Arabidopsis thaliana: one gene and its partners. The protein of the gene in region 4 purifies or fractionates together with the protein of the main gene of each other region. This does not show direct contact. Each region holds a gene or a part of one and is shown on either strand. Other genes may lie near its edges. The genes, in order: AT4G34450, AT1G30630, AT2G34840 and AT1G60970.

Region 1 (7,628 bases), on a different chromosome or scaffold from region 4:
AACTGTCAGCTTCATTGCAATGTCCTTTGAGCTGTCCATTCCAAACTGTGCCCTCACTAACACTTTCACGTTGCCTATGTACACACCTGACAATAGACACGTGTGTGACCTTGCATTGAGCGGAATTGTCTCCGTCCCCTGTTATTTATCCAGTGTCAGTTTCAATTTCAGGAACACAACAAATGGTCATATACTCAAAAAAGACTTTATCAACAATAATTTTAGCCCTCAAGTCTCAGTAGAGTATGAGAAAAAAGTGGAAGAGACTAACCTCACAAGTCTGCATGCCAAGAAGATCCATGACAGCCTTTACAGCTTCTCCCAAACTCTCTCTTTGGCCAAGGCCATATTCGTCTACACGCTCATCTTCTTCATCCATGCTTTCCCACGCATTCCTGAAATTGGAGACACCCACTTTCACCATGTAATCTCCAGCTACAACCTCAAGATCCTCTAGCTGGTACTCATCTTCTACTCCATCATCTTCTGCTTCACCTGTGCTTGGGTCAACCTGTTTTAACACATTCATAAAAGCACAAACAATGTAGTTAGAGAGTTTTCTTTGTTTTCTGTGATTAATTTGAGTCGTTCTGGTACTCCTCTCCAAATGAGTCGTTGTTTATAAGAGTTCTCCACAAAGTATTATGGGGTCATTTTCAGTGTAAGTAAATAAAAAGATGGAAGTGAATAGCCTATTTAACATGTACCTCCTTAACAACGAAAGTCAATGTGTTGGAGAACTTTCCAACAGCAGGGACCCCAGCTGGCTTCTCAAAAACCACAAAGGCTTGACCGGGTGAATCGTAAGGAAGTGAGTTTAGGGCCTTTGAAGTTACTTCACTGAATTCCTCAGCTTCTGAAGCATCTACAATGACATTGACCTACAACCCCATGCCAAATTAATTAAATGAGGAAAGAAAGATAAGATATGCTTGACACTAATATTCTACACCAATGTTCAGTACCCTCTCCAACAACTGCTCTGGTATTGTGTTAGTGCAGTTGTACTGAAACACCACATGACTGTCAAAGATATGCTTAACAACATTGACAGCGTATTCTGTTTCTGCTTCAGTTAGCTCCACAGGTAAAGAAGACTGAAAAAGAAAGTACAAGTTAAAGCAAACAAGATAAGCCATTAACATTAGAATAACACAGAAGACAAATCAGCCCCTAACCTTGAAAAGTTTTCCAAAGGCGGCAAACTCTGGAATGGATGAGAGAAGTCTTTCATAGCCATCAAAACCAGAAGCAGGTGCAGCTGGTGGTGCACCAAGACCAGTGGGCTTTTTACCCTGGGCTTTCTTCTCTGCAAGGGGCTGAGATTTAACTTCCTTAGGTACGGAGTTGATATCAAAAGCTTCTTCAGAGGGCTCCTGCAGGAATCCCAGATATAAGATAACTGATGTCCTAAGAATATTGAAAAGGAGAAAACCGAGAAATAGATTAACTCACATAATTCTTCAGACTAGTTTCCATGTTGACTAGAGGAACCTCCAGGGAACCAAATAGGAAATCCTTGCTCTCTTTATCAGTGTCAACAGTACCATCACCACCAAGAACACTCAAATATAGTGTTGCCCTATCACGGACCTTAAGATAAAAAGATGTCTGACTCATGAGCAAGGAAGGAATCATCAAACAACTTGCATTGCATGCATCCGAAAATGTTTACAGAGGCAAACACATGCATGCATGTTTGATGATGCAACGACTCAAAACAAACAGACATACAGAAACAGCAATGCTTTTCTAGACTAAGACTAGGAACGCACCTCATCATCACTGTCATAGATGCAACGCTTCAATAGAACAGTAATCCGGGGCTGTCGAGCATTATCATCAGTCAAAGAAGATAAACGGAAAATAAAAATAATGGTTGTTATGATGACTATACCTTCAAGGATTCAACCATAAACCCAAACTTTGCAAGTGTGGAAACAGCAGCAGCCCGGACAGTGGCGTTTTCTAGATGCACACGATTATATATATATCGTATATACTTGCTTGGATCTGAGGTGTTAGGCCCCTCAATTCCCAGAAAATGAAGGATCTGTGCGAGAATAAACATTTCAATAACACATAAGTTTTTAATAGCAACCCCAGATGGATGATGGAATAATTACCTGTGTTGAAAGATATGTGAATTCACAATCTTCAATGAATTCACATAGATGAAGCAGTCCACTTTCCTTTGCATCCGGAATATCTCTGATAATGGTCACAATAGAATCTACTATTGCTCTTTTATACTCAAATCCACCTTCTTCCCTAAGAATGTTGCTTAAGAAGGTCATCCTACAAATGAAAAGGTGATAGATCAATCATAAGCCAAATGCTAAAAAGATACCATAACATATTTAATCATTCAAAAAAATAGAAATGCTCGAGACCAAAACTACAAATAACAAACCCTAAAACTTTACTTACAAGGATCTGTATTTCAGTGGGAATTTCACACACAACGATCTTATTGCGTCCACGACCACAATTTTGAACTCATCAGCAATATCTGACATAAAATTAGTTATCTGCTTCATCAAACGTTCTACACTTGATTCGTTCCCTGTTTTCAATAGTGTGGTTATTGCGAGTGTAGCAATGCTTCTATTTTGATCAGAGATTAAACTCTCCATATCAATGTTGCAGTTGGTGACAGCCATAGGATGAGTCATTGCAACCTGTGGTTCAAACTTGTGTTTAGTATACAGTGAAATATCTCCTCATCCTCATGATAAAGGTAATGATGAATCTACCCAGAATAGTAAAACATCATTTCGGTGTCAATGTACAAAGAGAACAGTTGAAAGCATTGCAAACCTTGTTCAGAGTCCGGACAGCGGCAAATCTCAACACTGGTCTGGGGGAACTCAAAAAGAGCTGAAGAACAGTGATTGCTGGAGTCAGTTCTCGGCTTGTCACACCATCAAGCTCAGTAATTGCCCTGGCAGCCTCAAGGATCACCATTTCTGCCTTATGGCGCAGGCAACTCTCCAAAAATTCATAGAACGGACGTTCTCCAGATTGACCGTGGTTGGCCATGTCACGGATAACCTGAATATTAGAAACCAGAGCTAAATAACACATATACAATCAGCCACTTATCAAATGATCAAACAGAAGAGAGGAATAACCTGGCTGGTGTAACGTATCAAAAGACACTGAGCCAAGGGAGAGCGGACAGATCCCCTGGTCAAGCTACCAACCAATTTGCTAACAGCCAAGCGATCATTTTGGCGTATCTGAATATGATGAAAGATTATCAAGTTGATCAAAGATTGACAGTTATTAGATCAAAGATTGAGAGTGTATCATGTTGGGAGTCATTTTAAATCAACGTAACAGCAGCAATACATATCATTTGGTAACTCGTACATCTTAGACACATAAATAGGTTGTCCTAACCAACCTAATTAGTTACATATGCTAGAATCAGCAGTATCTGAGACAGACTCCAGACACAGATTAAACCTCACAAGAAACTAAAATTGCTGGAAAAGGCCGTAGTAAAGAGCTACGATGCTGCTACAGAAAACTTATTATTTATGAATCTAGTCCAATACACATAGTAACACCTCTCATTTTCCGAGATACTTCTTCTCAGTGGCTGTTTAATTAAACAAAGAGTAGAAACATAGACCAATCGACTTCGGTGATAATAATGCAACAAACTAACCTGATGGAGCAAAGCTAGGGCATGGAACTGAACAAGGGCTGATCTGGATTGAATACCTTCTTGAACTTCATTGCTCCATCTTTTAACAATTTCTGGGTTTGTCTGAAAACAGCAATATACGAATATAAGCATAACATTACAATTAAGAAGCTACCTAATAGTTTTGGTGTGTAAAAGGTACCTTGAGCAAGTGAAGCCCACTGACTAAAGCTGCACTTGAAACAACGGGATTCTTATCCACAATGGCTTGTTTCAAGTATCGCTCAATCTGAGTGAGAAGGGTTCCGTCTATTATCCGGCAGAGGACACGGATAGCATTTGCTCGATACATATCAATTTTACTATTCATATCCTTCATCAGAGAGCTTGTTACGATGATAACCTATGGGCGAAAAAACCAACAACTTATCAGAAAATATACCTACAATAAGTGCGACGATGTTCGTATTGAAATTGAGTAAAATTTACAGACCTCATCAGATGATGGAGATAACTCCTTAATGATCAAGTAGACCATTCTCCTCAAACCCGTGTCTTTTGATTGAAAAAGCTTTGTAACTGAAAAGAAAACTTCCGTTGCTTCAACCTGCATATGAAACAAACAACCATCGCGAGAGGATAAGAACACAATAATTCAATTCTCCATAAGCATGACATCGAATCAGTATAAGCAAAAAAATTAACTGACCTTGGTGAATGACTCCCCTTGGTTAAGCAAATAAAGAAGCTTCGTAATGACCTGGGAGCATCGTCTAGGATCAACCTGAGGGTCATTAAAGACTCTAGCCTCTTGAAGAACCGCTCCTTTCTCAATTCCCATGAATGGAGAATACTCCACTGATCCAACAAAAAATCAGAAATCGAAATAAGCAAAGCAATTCACACCGGGATCGAATGCGGTAAACAAAACTAAATCGGACTTGAGATTGTAGATCTACACAACCAAATCACAATCACGACTGTTGAATGATAACAGATCTAGAAGCTTAACATCTGGATCTACATTTTGCAGAAAACCAGCTGATTCGAAAATTATAAGGAGATTAAGAGAGAACACATACACTCATCGTCGTGATCATCGTCTTTCTTCACGAGGGGTTGCGCCATTTCTGATCTCGAAAACCTCCCTTTGAAATTACTCCGTCACTCAGATCTCGCGCTTTCTGTTTCCTTTATCTTCAGATGCAACAGGAGAAAGAAGAAGATCTCTAATCGTTTTCTTCTACTATATGTTTTTGAGTCAGAGAACTCAGAAACTGTGAGAGATCGATAGAGAAAGTGAACTTTTCGAAGCGGCCCAATAGCCCATACCCAAACAAAAAATATTAAAGAAATACTAAGATTATTTTTTTTTTGTCCCAAGAGAAATATTGTATTAATCAAGATAGTCAAAGCTTAAAGAAAAGTCCGCGATTACAGAAACGATTTAGGACCAAATAGGCCAACAGAGAGTCTTTCATAGAAGAAGAAACTATAGTTTGACTCTATCCCAAACCACATGTCGATATATTAATATACGTGTCAGATGAGTACTCTAAAGCGAACCGACTTCATTTTCGCCGTCTGAGCACCGATTTCGGTGAAAGAATCACCGTCGATAGTCTCATAGAACATGGATCTTTTTGTTTTTTCACCGATAAAAAGCAATCGAGGCTCATGTTAAATATACAACAGCTTAAGGCTATGATAATTAACAACAGAATCCACTTCTTTTCTTCAACATCATTCTCAAATTTCTCCAAAAATTTCTGTAAATCAAAACTTAAAAAAGAACAGATCGGATAAGAAGCATTAGAAAGCGAGATTGCATTCACTCTATCACCAACATGTCTCAGATGAGAATTATTAAAAACAAAACATGAAAATAAAAAAACACAGATTAAAAATCGATCTACATCGACGAGAGAAACCAAGAGCCAGCAACCACCGGTTATGTGAACAAGACGCTGCCGGACTAGAGCCAACCAACACCGCTACCAGAGCCGGTGATATCGGACAGAAAGCCCAAAAAGTCAGGACGGCTAACACCAGAAAATATCCGATCGTTGAAACTGATTTGCTTTCTCTCTAAAAAAAATATAAGCGAGAGAACAGAGAGGTTTTGCCCGTTCCCCTAATTATTTCGAATTATAAAATACAACACCAATTAAAAATAATAAAATTTTGGTATTCATATACGTTATAGATACCATAACTTGGTATAAATTAAGGCTTTGTACTCTGCATTTCAACAAAATCACACACTAATTTCTTTTGGTCAATTATTACAACATGTCATTTAAAAATATTTTGATTCTAAACAAAATAGCAAACTATTTAAATTATATATAAATCATATTGAACCTATAAACACCTCTTACAGGTTTGAATGTTATATTCAATTAGTTTACACAAAATTTTAATTTTTTACACTTAACAAAAAAAAATTTAAAATCTTAATAGTAAAATAAAAATAGAAACATTTTTTAATATAAGAAAAATTAAATTATATGTAAACCATATTGAACCTAACCTCTTAGGAGTTAAGATTTATCCAATTAGTTTACACAAAATTAAAAAAAAAACTTAAGATCTTAATAGTAATAGAAAAATATAGGTTTAAAACATTTTTTAATATAAGGAAAACAAGTGTTAAAACTTTAAATAATGTGTAAACCATATTGAAACTAGAACACTATTTAGGGGTTTGGATGATGTATCCAATTAGCTTACACAAATTTAAATATTTAACACTTAATAAAAAAACTTAAAACTTTAATAGTAGTATAAAAATAAAGGTTTAAAACATATTTTTGATATAAGAAAAACAAGTGTTAAAAATTTAAATAATGTGTAAACCATATTGAACCTAGAACACCTCTTAGGGGTTTGGATGATGTATCCAATTAGTTTACACAAAATTTAAAAATTCAACACTTAATAAAAAAAAACTTCAAATTTTAATAGTAGTATAAAAATTTAGGTTTAAAAACATTTATTTAATAAATATAAAAAACAAGTGTTAAAAATTTAAATGATGTGTAAACCATCTATTGAACCTAGAACACCTCTTAGGGGATTGGATGATGTATCCAATTAGTTTACACAAAATTTAAAAATTTAATATTTAATAAGAAAAACCTTAAAACTTTAATAGTAGTATAAAAATATAGGTTTAAAAACAGTTTTTAATAAAAACAAAAACAAGTGTTAAAAATTTAAATTAATTTACACAAAATTGAAAATTTTAACACTTAATAAAAAAATCTAAAAATAAATTTTTATTTAGTAAAAAATGAATCATTAAAAATAGAAAAGGAAAAAAGAAAATACCTTTGCTTGTGATATCGACGAAACACAAGATTTTCAAAAGATCTCGTCGACGCCAAGGAAACACCTAGTACCAAACACAGATCATGATCCATTGATTTGGTTCTATACTGCTCGTTGCTTTCATTGTCCATGTCTTCGTTATATCCCTCTTTCCCACTTTCGCATCCTTAGTCGTCGTTTGTGTTCTCCTTCGCCGTCGACAACTGAATCCATGGCCGGGATCTTTGATCTTGTGAAATTAGGAGAGACTTGATATGAAAGCAATCTGAATTGACCTAAGATGTAGTCACAACAGAGATCAATCACCAAAAAGAGCCGCTTTATCAACCGATCAATCTTACGGTGAAGTTGAAGCAGAGAATGGAGAATTAGGTTTTGGTTTGGAAGAAGAAGAGAGAATGGAGAATTTGGATTTCTCAAGAAAGAAGAGGTATATATAAGTAAAGGTTTGTTCAATCTTACGGTGAAGTTGAAGCAGAGAATGGAGAATTAGTAAGATCGCGTCTTCTCCACGTCAATATTTAGATTCAGAGCAAATCCTTACGTGGTTTAGGTTTCCAGGAAGAAGAAGAGAGAATGGAGACTTTTCTCAAGGAAGAAGAGAGAAGGGGTGTATTTATAAGTACACGTTTGTTCAATG
Region 2 (4,591 bases), about 12 Mb from region 4:
GTGAAAGAGTTTGTTGAGGCGTGCAAGAAAGCAACTGGTGTTGAGATCAAGATCGACTATTTGCCTAGACGTGCAGGTGATTACGCTGAGGTTTACAGTGATCCAAGCAAGATTAGGAAGGAACTTAACTGGACAGCTAAGCACACTAATCTCAAAGAGAGTCTTGAGACTGCATGGAGATGGCAGAAGCTGCACCGTAATGGCTATGGCTTAACAACCTCATCGGTCTCGGTTTACTGACTTTGTTCATTCCTTTGGTGATGGACGGAGATTTTGATTCCAGATGGTATTGAGGAGAGAAGCGTAGGAGATGATGATGGTTTATATATAAATATAACACAAGATATATTATCCATATTATGAAAAAATGATATCACATGACGAGATTTTTGATTGATATTCATTTTGTAATGGCTTTAGGTTCTTTTAGGAAGCAGCCATTCATTAGTATATGTACCTCTCACAATATTTATTGATTAGTCTTAATAATATATAGCATTCCTGGCTTTTAATTTGTAAAGCGGAATTTAGATCTAAGCTCCGTGTTGCATACATTAGCGAATGTTTCGTTTTCAAAAGTCTGCCTTTTGTCTCATCAGTTATGGAGATTCTGGATTTCAAGGAACAAGATCTGTAGTTCTGTTGGATTCGAAACTCAATGAAAACAAAAGCTTCAGTGAGAAATCAAAGTAAAATGCAACATATCCAATGGAAAAAACTGTTTATCTATGATAATTTCAAGATAGGGTCGGTAATAATATGATGTTCTTCTGGTAGATCATAAGGCAAATTGATTCCATGGACTTTGAGGTACTTCAGGCGAAAGATTGAAGTGCTCTCTCGAAGTTATCTTCAGCTGATGCTGCTCGCTTCACAAGGACGTGTTCTGGATGTGAAAGTTTCAGCTGGCTGCAAAAGGATTGGAAATGGAGGAATAAGTCAGCTTACTGATGCACTTGTTGTTATGCAGAAAATGCAAAAGGTCATGAATATTTATACTTTAGGTAGCGAGAAGATGATTTCCCGACGTGAAGACTGCATACAACGAGGTTTGCAAGAGTTTCTGGGTCTTTAGCATCCTGCAATGAGAATAAACATCTATGATTTCAAACTTGTCCATTTTATAATAAACGGAATAGTTGAAAAGTTTAGATTTGGTGTAAGGAGTTTTCAAGTATCCTCATAGATTTAAATCGAGTGAGCATTTCCGATGACATGATATTGAGAATGGGTTGTGTCGATACAGATTTAAGGAAAGAAAGAGTAGGTTCATCACTCACCTTGTTGAGTGCTTCAAGTAGTAGAGTCTCAGCTTCTTCAAAATTACCCATATGCATGCAGCAAACTGCTTTGCCGTTCAAGATCAAGCTTGTCATTGGGTACTTCTCAGAGAAATCCTGGAAGATTAGATAAGCTTCCTGTATCTTGGAACCACCCTGAGATCATAAAGAACAATTTCATATTAAGAAACACATTAACAAACTTCTCTACACTATATGGAAAAAAGAAATGGATATTCATATCATACTACTGCCAGATTCAACCACGCGCTCGCGAGCTGAGTGAGTGTGTGGTCTTCATCAATCTGTTGCATCACTCTCAGTTGTTTCTCCGCAAAATCTGATCTGTGCATCTTTATGAATATCTGGACATTCAAAGCATGCCTAAAATATGCAGAAACAACAATCATTTATCGAGTAAACGAAAAGAGATCGCTGTGACAAGACAAAACAAATCGAAAAGCTCACAGATCCATGGTTCCTCCAGAATGAGTGTGCTTCAGAGCCTCATTATAGTCTTCCTCATGCATGAATATAGTACCAGCAATCAACCTGATAATAGCATTGTTTCCTACAGTTGGATCTGCCAACCATTCCCTCAAGCTCGAAATGGTTGATTCCTAACCAAAATCACAGAAACAACTACGTATTCAACAATGCAGATCACTAAAATAAGATCAAGATATATTCAATTCCGGATCTCTGAAGCTAAATCATCAAAAGAATCCTAGAATTCTACTAAAGTTATCTGAAATTCCGCTAAGCAAACGTTACAGAAGATGAATTGAAACATCTCAAAATCTCTTGAATTACCTTGTTTTCAGGACTCGATAGATACATAGCAAGGAGTTTCACTGCCTGTAGAGGAGTAGCAGCGGCTTCATCGATCTCACTGATGACAAGCTACGAAGACGAAATTTGAAAAACGTAAATCAGCAAATGATCAAAACAAATTGAAATCCAAATCGAAAAACACGAGACGGAAGCAAAACCTGGTAACTTCCGAGAGCGATGTAAGCGCGATGGACGAGACAGTCTCGCTCGACGATATCTTCCTGCGAAAGATTAGGGATCTCGCTGTTGTTGATCGCAGCTTGATAAGCACCCAAGTAGAAATGGTTTCTCAAATTGAAGAGATGATCTGGTCCTGCCATGGATGCCATTGTCTTAGCTTCTTCTTCTTCTTCTTCTTCTAGATCTCACAGATCCGTGTCTAACTCCAAAATAAAGAAAACTGAAGTGTGAATAATCAAAACCAAAAAAATATGACGCCTTAAGATGTACATAAAGCCCCATACATTTTGAATGTTACAATTGACACTCATTGTTATCTATTTTAGGCCCAATGGGCTTTTCGATGACCCAATTAGTTCGACACTCTGCTTCTCTTTACACGTCTCCTACATACGGACGGTGACAATCTTGTCTTACCAATAAAACGCGTTTTTATCCAATTCGCGCGGGAGTTGTTCTAATGACGTTAGCAAACCACTCCGTTCAATCGTGCTGTCACGTTATGTCGACAAACAAATCCAACAATTTACTGACACGTGTCATTTAGCTTCCCCAATAAATGACCCGGGAATAGTTAAAAGCCGGTTTACCAGTATTGGTTTTAATCAGCCACCGAGTCATCGTGACTGTAACTTAAACGGCGTTTACTGCTTCAAGATAAAATACGCTTTGCCCAAAAAACGTTATTAGTTCGTAATCCGTTTTTGCTCTCCCTTTTGAGATCTTTTAATTAAAAAAATTCCGTTTTAAGTGAATGCGTGTAAGCAACAGTTCGAATTCGAAGCGAGAGCTAAAATCAAAATCTCTCTGATTTGTTGTTTTGTTGATGTAAGTTTCTTTGATCCTTTCGCGAAATTTGTCATCTTCCCCGATCGAGTTTTACTTTTTCTTTGTGAATAGTTTGACTTTTCGTTTTTCTTCTTCTTCAATCTCGCATGGTGTTTGTGCGTATCTTGTTTGGAATTGGAGTTTGTAACTATTTGATTATAAGCAAGTTTTGATTCGAATGCATGCGTGCAATCCACAATCCAGAACTAGATGTATATGTATCTCTATGTCAAGAGTGATTAAAATCGATTCGTGTGGAATTAACTTGGAAGTGAAAGTTTTAATATTGTTTCCGGAATTTACGGTGAGATTTTAGGTGTTGACCAGCGTTGTTAGACAAGAATTTGTCATCAATTTGATTTAGTTTTGAAGCATTTGGGTTTTGGAATTTTGTTTTGATTTTCTGCAGGTTTTATGAAGTGATTTGCATTAGATTGGATTGAAATGGCTACGGAGCCTACAAGGAGCTGGTTCCAGATACGGCAGCAGAAACCGGATAAATCAAGCCCTACTAAAAAGGGACAAGAGGGAAATGTGAAGAATCTTGGGAGACCTCCTATGAATGATGCACCATCTAATGCTACTAAACAGAAAGTTGCTGCAGCGAAGCAATATATCGAGAATCATTATAAAATTCAGAAGAAGAGTCTCCAGGAAAGAAAAGAGCGGTACGTTCTCGGGATTCTTCTTGTGATGCCAATATTTACTTCTTGTGCTTTAGTTGTTACAAATGGAACTTCAGAGTAGTCTTATTTTCTAGTACTGATGGTTGGGTCTGATTTAGGAATTAATCTGCTACTGGTTTAGATTGAACCTTCTGATATCAGCTCGCTCTTGAATACAGTCGGAGCATCTTGGAACAAAACCTAGCTGATGCTGATGTTACTGTTGAAGACAAGATGGATATATTAAAGAACTTTGAGAAAAAGGAAATGGAGTATATGCGTCTACAAAGACAGAAAATGGGGGTTGATGACTTTGAACTGCTTAGCATCATTGGCCGGGGTGCTTTCGGTGAGGTATATCTCTTTATGTGTTCTTTGTGGTTGCCTCTCTTATTTTTCACTTCCTTTTTGTAAGCTTAGCTAATATCTTGTCTCATCTTTACATATAAAATTTGATGTTGCTTCTTTTTTAGCTCTCTTACTGGCTACCGAAGTACTGATAACTAGCTATTATTCTTTTTCTATGAACCAAAGCTTCTGTTAGTGATTTTACTTGGTGTATTGATTTAATATTATTTCATTTCTGTCCAGGTGAGAATTTGTAAAGAAAAATCTACTGGAAGCGTATATGCAATGAAAAAGTTAAAGAAATCCGAGATGCTTCGACGAGGGCAGGTAATGCACTATCTGATAGCATCTCTCCAAATCAAAGAGTTTAGTTGTGATTAAATTGGTAATTCATTAACATCTGCGTAAATACGCTAATCCTCTCTTTATGCGGTAAATATCAGGTGGAACATGTTA
Region 3 (4,416 bases), on a different chromosome or scaffold from region 4:
CGGCATGAACTTATATATTGTTTACTACAATAATTAGACCATACGGTGCAAAAATTAAAACAAAATAAGTCATGCATCCCTCGTTCTACGGTGACGCATGTTGATGAACGGATTCTATAAAAATAGTAATATTTAATATCTGTTATCCAGTCAGATATATTTAAAACAATATAAGAATTTAAATTGACAAAGAAAGATAAATCTGATTAACCACGGAATATGTGTGTTTAGATTGGTAACGTATGATTAGACACATCAATGCTATTTAAAAGATGCATATGATGATAACTTTTAGAAGTGAGAAGGCCTTTGGATTATTAGGGATTACAAATAGTAAACTTATTATAGATTACTTGAGAAAAGAGATTCATTAAAACAAAATTTGCATAAAGTAAGAACCAAACTAGAGGAGCTTATTCCAAGAAGATGCATTTTACATTTAAAAGGTGCATGTAATTAATGTCTGATAACCATAACTCATTAATTATTCTAATTCAGCTAAAAGCGAGCCTAAACCCATTACACAGAGAATTGCACGAATCACAAGTACACAAATTGATAGAACATTTAGACTTTAGAGGTTGATATTTTTTGATAAACTATAGTATTGATTTATGTTATTAATTGGGTTGTGTAGCACGAGGACTTCTTTGAACATGTGAAATGAATATTGACTTTACGTAAAATCGACCATGCCCTTTAAGTGTTCCTCAAGTTCATACAAAAACAACAGTCATACTCTTATATGTATATTATAACATGATTTAAATTTGAACTATGTTTATTTAACTATATCCTATATATAATTATTACGATTGAGAGATGAGAAAGTTTGTTACAGATGAAGAAGAAGATATTTTCCCCTTAAATTTCTGTAAATGTATTTTGTACAAGTATATATACGATGACAATACAACCGGTTAATATAACCCGCGTAATACAAAATCAATTAAACCGATAAATTAAATCAACACTCTCTGATATGACCCCTCAATATGAGGATTCGAAAATGTTGAGAATGCTCATCTTGGACTTTAGATGTTCAAACTGATGTGAGAACAAATGTTTAGCAAAATATCAGCTATTTGATCATCCGTGGGAACATGAAGCAGTTTAAGCTCACCATCATCCAACTTGTCACGCACGGTATGGCAGTCAATCTCAATATATTTCGTGCTCTCATGGAAGATATAATTGATTGCAATATAGATAACATCTGTACTGTCTGAAAACAAGATAAGAATCGAAGTAGTATCCGTTTAAGATACGAGCAATGTATGCAACCAAACCAACTCACAAGTAGCAAGAGCTAATGCTCAGTATCTAGAAATAACATGTTGCTTCTTAGATCGACATGAGATGATTTATGAAGAAATTTGAGCTTTGATGGCTCTAATACCATATTACGATCGAGAGATAAGAAAGTTTGTTACAGATGAAGAAGAAGATATTTTCTGATTAAATTTCCGTAAATGTATTTTGTACAAGTATATATACAATGACTATTCAACCGATTAACATCACCGTAATACAAAATCATCTAGACCGATAAAACTAACCTAACACATTCTGATAATAACAAATATGAATTTATTGATTTTCTTTTAATTAAGAATAGCTCGTTCAACCAAATGTTGACATCTTTTTTTTTTTTGAACACTACCAAATGTAGACATCTAGTACACTAATTCAACCATGTCTGTCGTCTAATACTATTTCGAGTAGTGTGTGATATGCTTAATATATAAAAAAAACTTGTTCACGTTTCTGATTTTAAAACATAGACTGACCAAAAGCTCACAACACACAACTAGATATAAAGCCCAGGAGTCAAACAAAGAACCTGATTCGTTATTTTGCCGCACAAGGCCCAAATCAAATTAGTGATGTTACTTGAACAGTTCAAAAAGAACTGGGATTATTATGCATTCAGTTTATAACTTAAGGGGTTATTATGTTATTAACCCGTTTACTTTCGTTTGGATTTTGGAATTAGACGCGAAGCTGTGAAATCTAGAAGAAGAAGAAGAAGAAGAAGAAGAAGAAGAAGAAGAAGAAGAAGAAGAAGAAGAAGAAGAAGAAGAAGAAGAAGAAGCAATGTCAGCCATGGGAGCAGGACCAGATCACCTCTTCAACCTCAGAAACAATTTCTATTTGGGAGCTTATCAAACGGCGATCAACAACAGCGAGATCGCCAACCTCTCGCCGGAAAACGCCGTGGAACGTGACTGTCTCGTCTTCCGATCTTACATCGCCCTCGGTAGCTATCAGGTTACTTCTCTAATCATATCGATAATGTCTTCTTCTTTAGATTCGATTACGTTTTGTTTTGATCTGTTCTTCCAAATTTTGGTGTGTATAAGCTTGTTATCAGTGAGATCGATGAATCAGCCGCTACTCCACTACAAGCAGTCAAACTCCTCGCTATGTATCTATCGACTCCTCAAAATAAGGTAATTACGGCTTTGATTCGTGTTCACGAAACATGTTGTAAAGAGATTCAAATGCTTATATGGAACGATTGTTATTGGTTCAGGAATCAACAATTTCAAGCTTGAAGGAATGGTTAGCAGATTCAACAATAGGAAACAATGATACATTACGATTGATTGCTGGTATTATTTTCATGCATGAAGAAGATTATAATGAAACTTTGAAGCATACTCATGCTGGAGGAACTATGGATTTGTAAGATTTTTTCGATTTTTATTTGGTGGATTGAGTATTTATACTGTGTTTTAAAACATGTTCTTAGATGGCTCATTGCTATTGTTTTTCTAGGTATGCCTTGAATGTTCAGATATTCATTAAGATGCATAGAGCAGAGTATGCTGAGAAGCAGCTTAGAGTGATGCAACAGATTGATGAAGACCACACTCTCACTCAACTTGCTAGCGCTTGGTTGAACCTGGCAGTGGTATAATGCGAAATATTCAATGTGTTCTGGCTTATTCTTTCAAAGAGTTGTGTATTTGCTTCTTATGCTAAGGCGTTATTTGATTTCAGGGCGGTTCGAAGATACAGGAAGCTTATCTCATTTTCGAGGATTTTTCTGAGAAGTACCCAATGACATGCTTGATCTTGAATGGCAAAGCTGTTTGCTGTATGCAAATGGGTAACTTCGATGAAGCTGAAACACTACTTCTTGAAGCACTCAACAAGGTAACTACAAATTAGGCTTGTGTACCTTAAATTTGCTCTGTACATTAGCATTCTCGGGAACAATATGAAACTAGGGACCTCTCTAAATTTCTCACACTGCACTTGTCTCTTGGCTTTTCTGTATATGGGGAAGTGTGTTTATACTAATTTGTGGTGATTGCAGGATGCTAAAGATCCAGAAACTCTTGCAAATCTTGTTGTGTGCAGTCTTCATGTCGGGAAGTCTTCTTCACGCCACCTAAGGTAAATTTTCATTATCTACTCTTATATTAGGCATCATTTGCCCAATCAATCAGTAGAACTCACTGAAAAGTTAATCGAGAGTAACTGTGTCCTTAATCCTAATAAAAACATTGGTCGGTCTCGTTTGTTAACTTCATTTGTATCACCTATCCTTCTTGCAGCCAGCTAAAACTTTCACACCCGGAACACATACTTGTGAAGCGTGTATCATCAGCTGAAGATAACTTCGAGAGAGCAGTTCAATTGGTCGCCTAAAGACTCTTCCATGGTTCAAGCTAAAAGACGTGCAGGATTTGTTTGCTTTACCGCATATTTTCACCGGGTTGGTAAATCTACCAGAACAACCATACTGTCTTGTCTTTTCGAAACCAGTATATGAACCAGCTTTTGCCATTAGATATGTTAAGTTACATTTCATTACTTGAAAATATCAAATTCCACCTCTCGCACTCTCAATTCCGTTTGTCATTTACTTAATTTCGAACCTAACCAATCCAGATCGTGTAACTCAACCCGAAACCTTGAGTGAATTCAACCGATCGTTTGAATCCAAACTAGAAATACCAAAACAAACAAAAGCTTCTCACTTGGAAATACTTCAATTTTTTTCCAACCAATGATTTTCACTTTTTACACAAAGAAGCGACATATGTCTTCCGTTAGGATTTTGATAAACCTCAATCACAATAAAATAGGTGATTGACATGGATGATATTTTATTAATCAATAATCTCATATATAATCTCTATATATGGATAAGATGAATACTATTCTACTAAGAATAAATCCATCTTCTTCTACTACCTTCACTACCATCTAGAATCAAGACTCTAATGAAGGAGTCCTTGAAGGGCAATGCTCACATACCTAATGCATAATGGTCAGTATGCAGAAACCAAGGAAGAAGATCCATAGCCACTGCGATGAAGCTTTTGCCATCTCCATGCCATCTTTAAACTTTCTTGAAGATTGGTGTGCTTAGCTGTCCAATTCAGCTCTTCTTTGATTTTT
Region 4 (3,936 bases):
GATAAGAAACGATAGTCGGTTTTGATAATAAGATTAGCAAATATATTAGTTAGCTTAAATTAGTTAAAGAATACAAATTAAAAAGGTATATTACACTTTATTCAAATATAGTATCAAAACTTATATAACACAAAGATTTGGTAATTTTTTAATTGTTGAATACTTTTTTTTGTGCTAATTTTATGTGATTAAGATTTAATTGATTTCATATATAAAATATTAAATTGACTTATTTGTTTATAATTTGGTAACAGATAGATATTTGAATATTCAGTATATTTTGCTTCAGTTTAGAAAATCTTTGATGACCCGTCTTTAGATCCAATAAGTCCTATAATCTAGAGATTAATCTGCAGTATACCGCAGGTAGGCTTATATTTTAGTTAAACTAAAAACTTTTATTGTAAAGATGATTTAAAAATATATGATATTATTTTATTTGATTTTAAATGTATAGTAAATATGAGTTGTATATGTTTTGTTGATATTATCTATATTGTTTAGTGTTTAAGATTATAGATTATACACTTGTAGTTTGATTGTTAATTTAAGAGTTTCACATGTAGTATATCATCTTGTATTAATATCGATCTAAACCCGTCAATTCTAGGATTTTCCAGCTTGTATTAAAAATTGAATCACATCTGATATGTTATTAACTATTGTAGTATATAAGATTATAAATTTTCAATATAATATGTATGAAATTGAATATAAATATTTCAAATTTATGTCCCGTTACTCAGTAGAAAGTTTTCTTAAATCTATTTTTCACCCGTTACAATATTATTTCATGTATTGAACAGTTTTTATTCGTTTTTAAAAATTCAAATTATGGCATATGCGAAAAAACTCTAATTATTTTTTTATAATGATGATATTATTTTTCCGTAAAAATAGAATCATATAAAGATGAGAAGTGAACAATAATAATTAATAAAAAATTAATATGATAATTTAGATACCAAATATAGTTTGTTGATTTTAATTGGTTACTTTTTTTAGAAATTAATAATGTATTTCGTTTTTCTAATTAAATTAAATTAATTAAAATTTAGATATCAAATCTTATATGTTGATTTTAATTGGCTATTATTTTTGGAAATTGATAATATATTTCGTTTTTTAATTAATTTAATTAATTAAATTAGTATTTGACTTTTTAATCCTTAAAGAGATAAATTAATTTACTTTTTAAAATTTTATTTCTAATGGCATACCTATATAATTACTTACAAAAATTAAGGTTACATTTAAAATGTATTTTCCAAATAATATAGTAGGATTAGAAGTGGTCACAGGTCCGTTTGTAATTGCTTGATTTTTCTTAATTACCAAAAAAGAACTAATTTATCATAAATAACTTAGGCGGGCCTGTGGAGGCACATGCTTGGGCTGACAGAGTTTCGGATGATTAAGCCGGGTCGAGTAAGACCCGTTTTAATGTTCCCAAGATCCACACGGCCCAAGAGAAGAGTGTACCAAATATTACCCAAATCTCGGTCCGGACTGAATCAGGAACCGGTTTAGAGAAAACCAGACAGAGTAATGACATCTGGAAACTCTGGATTCTTCGCTTCCAATGTCAAGTTGACTGATGTCACAAGAAAAACAAATCAAAGTTGACCAGAAAAAGAAAAAGCAACTAATTAATTACATAATTAAGAGAGAAAAAAAAGAGAGAGTGTTTTAGTAAAAGAAAATTAATATTCCTGAAAATATGAATTTGCCAATTTGTAACGTTTTCTGAAAATTTCCTCTGCCAAAGTCCAAAGGAGAGTTTTTCTTTATTACTAGGGCATTCTCTGCAGATTTCTTCTCCTTAAGCCATGGTATGAATCTATTTTTCTAAACTTCTTTTATTTCAGAGATTTCTTCTCTGTTTCTATTGCACCGATCATTCCTATGTTTTATTATCTGCGATATTGTAATACTTTACATGCATGTGAGAAGTGACAAATTTCAGATTTTGTAATTGTTTTCATCTATAGATACGATCGTCTTAAATCTTTAGTCATATAAAAAATTTGATTGAAGTTACGCATGATTTTCAGATAATCACTCATTAGGTGTTAGACAATTGTGGATAGCTAATTGTACTATATACAGAAAAGAGATTGTTACTGTTCACTGATTCATGTTCTGTTACATCTTTTGGTTGGTGATTTTCAATATCTCTTAATCTTTATTCTATTCTGTGTTTTCATTACTTACATTTAGGAATTGCCCCCAAAAGTGAAAAACATCTTGCTTTTGGATTCTGAAGGAAAGCGTGTAGCGGTTAAGTATTACTCAGATGACTGGCCAACAAATTCAGCTCAGGAAGCGTTCGAAAAATCCGTGTTTACAAAGACTCAGAAAACAAATGCTAGGACCGAAGGTAGATTTCGACATCAACCATGTTTTAGATACTTCATAGTGTACTTGTTGAGTATCTTTTATCAAATCTTTTCCGTCATTACAATTGCTAGTTCTTGATATGTAGTGGAAGTGACAGCACTGGAGAACAACATTGTTGTGTACAAATTTGTGCAAGATCTCCATTTCTTTGTTACGGGCGGTGAAGAGGAAAACGAGCTTATCTTAGCCAGTGTGCTTGAGGGACTCTTTGATGCAGTGACCCTTCTCCTTAGGTTTGTCTAATCATAGCTTCAAATTTTTGTTATATTATTTCTACATTCCCAACTTCGCTCAAATTTTCGATCTTCCTCTCTTCTGAACCCAAATTACAGAAGCAATGTTGATAAGAGAGAGGCACTAGACAACCTTGATCTCATCTTTCTAAGCTTTGATGAAATTATCGATGGCGGGTATAAAAAAAAATCTTCTTTTCGACATTACTAAAACCATTAGATCATAAATGGACTGTTTCATAGGTTACATAGTCAAATAAAACTATCTTATATTTCAGTATTGTTCTGGAGACGGATGCAAATGTAATAGCAGGTAAAGCAGGGATCAATAGCACTGACCCTAACGCTCCTCTATCCGAGCAGGTACAGTGGTTTTGAAATTGTGATCATATTTTTCTTGATAATTACATCATCTTGATACAAACTTTGAAATAGTTACATTGATCCGAACTCTCAAGTAACACCATCACTAATGAACTTGATACATTTCTCTGCGGTGTTTTTTTTTTCCTTCAGACGATAAGTCAAGCACTCGCGACTGCAAGAGAACATTTGACAAGGTCACTTATGAAATGATGTGTGTTTTGCTCTTCGGTAATAATGGTTGTTTTTGTCATGGTGAATGTGTGTTTTGTCTCTTGTAGTTGAGTGACTATACTCTTAAATATAAAAGTTACTTTGCACTTGGGAGATAGTTACCGTTCTTAAGGTCAAACAATTCTCTGGTGATTTCTTCACTCTTTTTCATGTTCCATACACAATTAAATTACAACATACAGTATATACCTAAGATTAAAATATAATTCAACATCTACCTGTTCGAGATGCTCATAAGCTAAAAGTATGATGTATTATTGCAAATTTGCAATAGGCCAAATGGGTTTAGGTAGGGATACTTTTTTTTTACTATTTCAAGTTTTCAACTGTGAGATATACTTTACTAGTACCGTAACCATTACATTTTTTAATCAAATAATGGATCTGATTGGTAACCAAAAGTTGTATAAATATTTTAGATGTTAGCTTTATCGGAACAGTGCAAAACTTTTAGAACGAGCTCTACAAAAAAAGCTGAGAGTAAAACTTTTTGTAACGTTTTTGATAAAGTTTTTATGATTGATAACTATCAAAACTGTACAAAAGTGTATTGTGTTACCATTCAAACCCAATATGTTTTACAATCCAAAAAGTATTGATGAAGGGTAATATTGTATTTAACCCAAAAAAAAAAGATGAATAAAAAATGAAATTACAACAAAATGTCGACATTTAGTTGGCGTGTGGCTACAATATTCGGAAGAAT

Evidence for each region.
Region 1: the proteins of AT1G60970 (region 4) and AT4G34450 fractionate together in Arabidopsis thaliana (co-fractionation; one large-scale study listed by BioGRID). This does not show direct contact.
Region 2: the proteins of AT1G60970 (region 4) and AT1G30630 fractionate together in Arabidopsis thaliana (co-fractionation; one large-scale study listed by BioGRID). This does not show direct contact.
Region 3: the proteins of AT1G60970 (region 4) and AT2G34840 fractionate together in Arabidopsis thaliana (co-fractionation; one large-scale study listed by BioGRID). This does not show direct contact.

What each region holds. Positions count from the first base shown.
Region 1 is NC_003075.7:16,469,111-16,476,738, reverse strand, and holds the start of AT4G34450 (coatomer gamma-2 subunit, putative / gamma-2 coat protein, putative / gamma-2 COP), read right to left. Parts: upstream 6,004-7,628; 5' UTR 4,784-6,003; coding exon 4,738-4,783; intron 4,514-4,737; coding exon 4,365-4,513; intron 4,263-4,364; coding exon 4,149-4,262; intron 4,059-4,148; coding exon 3,858-4,058; intron 3,779-3,857; coding exon 3,677-3,778; intron 3,243-3,676; coding exon 3,135-3,242; intron 3,055-3,134; coding exon 2,821-3,054; intron 2,682-2,820; coding exon 2,431-2,681; intron 2,299-2,430; coding exon 2,127-2,298; intron 2,054-2,126; coding exon 1,898-2,053; intron 1,827-1,897; coding exon 1,776-1,826; intron 1,594-1,775; coding exon 1,456-1,593; intron 1,377-1,455; coding exon 1,179-1,376; intron 1,098-1,178; coding exon 966-1,097; intron 882-965; coding exon 708-881; intron 512-707; coding exon 272-511; intron 139-271; coding exon 1-138. UniProt on the Arabidopsis thaliana protein: The coatomer is a cytosolic protein complex that binds to dilysine motifs and reversibly associates with Golgi non-clathrin-coated vesicles, which further mediate biosynthetic protein transport from the ER, via the Golgi up to the trans Golgi network.
Region 2 is NC_003070.9:10,857,731-10,862,321, forward strand, and holds AT1G30630 (Coatomer epsilon subunit), read right to left. Parts: upstream 2,593-4,591; 5' UTR 2,444-2,592; coding exon 2,273-2,443; intron 2,184-2,272; coding exon 2,094-2,183; intron 1,901-2,093; coding exon 1,749-1,900; intron 1,665-1,748; coding exon 1,529-1,664; intron 1,437-1,528; coding exon 1,281-1,436; intron 1,080-1,280; coding exon 1,000-1,079; intron 910-999; coding exon 816-909; 3' UTR 502-815; downstream 1-501. Other genes in the region: MUR4 (NAD(P)-binding Rossmann-fold superfamily protein), read left to right, coding at 1-240; AT1G30640 (Protein kinase family protein), read left to right, coding at 3,567-3,790, 3,967-4,141, 4,379-4,462, 4,579-4,591. UniProt on the Arabidopsis thaliana protein: The coatomer is a cytosolic protein complex that binds to dilysine motifs and reversibly associates with Golgi non-clathrin-coated vesicles, which further mediate biosynthetic protein transport from the ER, via the Golgi up to the trans Golgi network.
Region 3 is NC_003071.7:14,700,506-14,704,921, forward strand, and holds AT2G34840 (Coatomer epsilon subunit), read left to right. Parts: upstream 1-1,982; 5' UTR 1,983-2,097; coding exon 2,098-2,271; exon of another isoform or gene 2,272-2,363; coding exon 2,364-2,453; intron 2,454-2,536; coding exon 2,537-2,688; intron 2,689-2,781; coding exon 2,782-2,917; intron 2,918-3,006; coding exon 3,007-3,162; intron 3,163-3,325; coding exon 3,326-3,405; intron 3,406-3,566; coding exon 3,567-3,660; 3' UTR 3,661-3,866; downstream 3,867-4,416. Other genes in the region: MEE25 (NAD(P)-binding Rossmann-fold superfamily protein), read right to left, coding at 4,287-4,416. UniProt on the Arabidopsis thaliana protein: The coatomer is a cytosolic protein complex that binds to dilysine motifs and reversibly associates with Golgi non-clathrin-coated vesicles, which further mediate biosynthetic protein transport from the ER, via the Golgi up to the trans Golgi network.
Region 4 is NC_003070.9:22,447,281-22,451,216, reverse strand, and holds AT1G60970 (SNARE-like superfamily protein), read left to right. Parts: upstream 1-1,680; 5' UTR 1,681-1,829; coding exon 1,830-1,832; intron 1,833-2,220; coding exon 2,221-2,380; intron 2,381-2,485; coding exon 2,486-2,633; intron 2,634-2,732; coding exon 2,733-2,810; intron 2,811-2,911; coding exon 2,912-2,996; intron 2,997-3,149; coding exon 3,150-3,209; 3' UTR 3,210-3,406; downstream 3,407-3,936. UniProt on the Arabidopsis thaliana protein: The coatomer is a cytosolic protein complex that binds to dilysine motifs and reversibly associates with Golgi non-clathrin-coated vesicles, which further mediate biosynthetic protein transport from the ER, via the Golgi up to the trans Golgi network.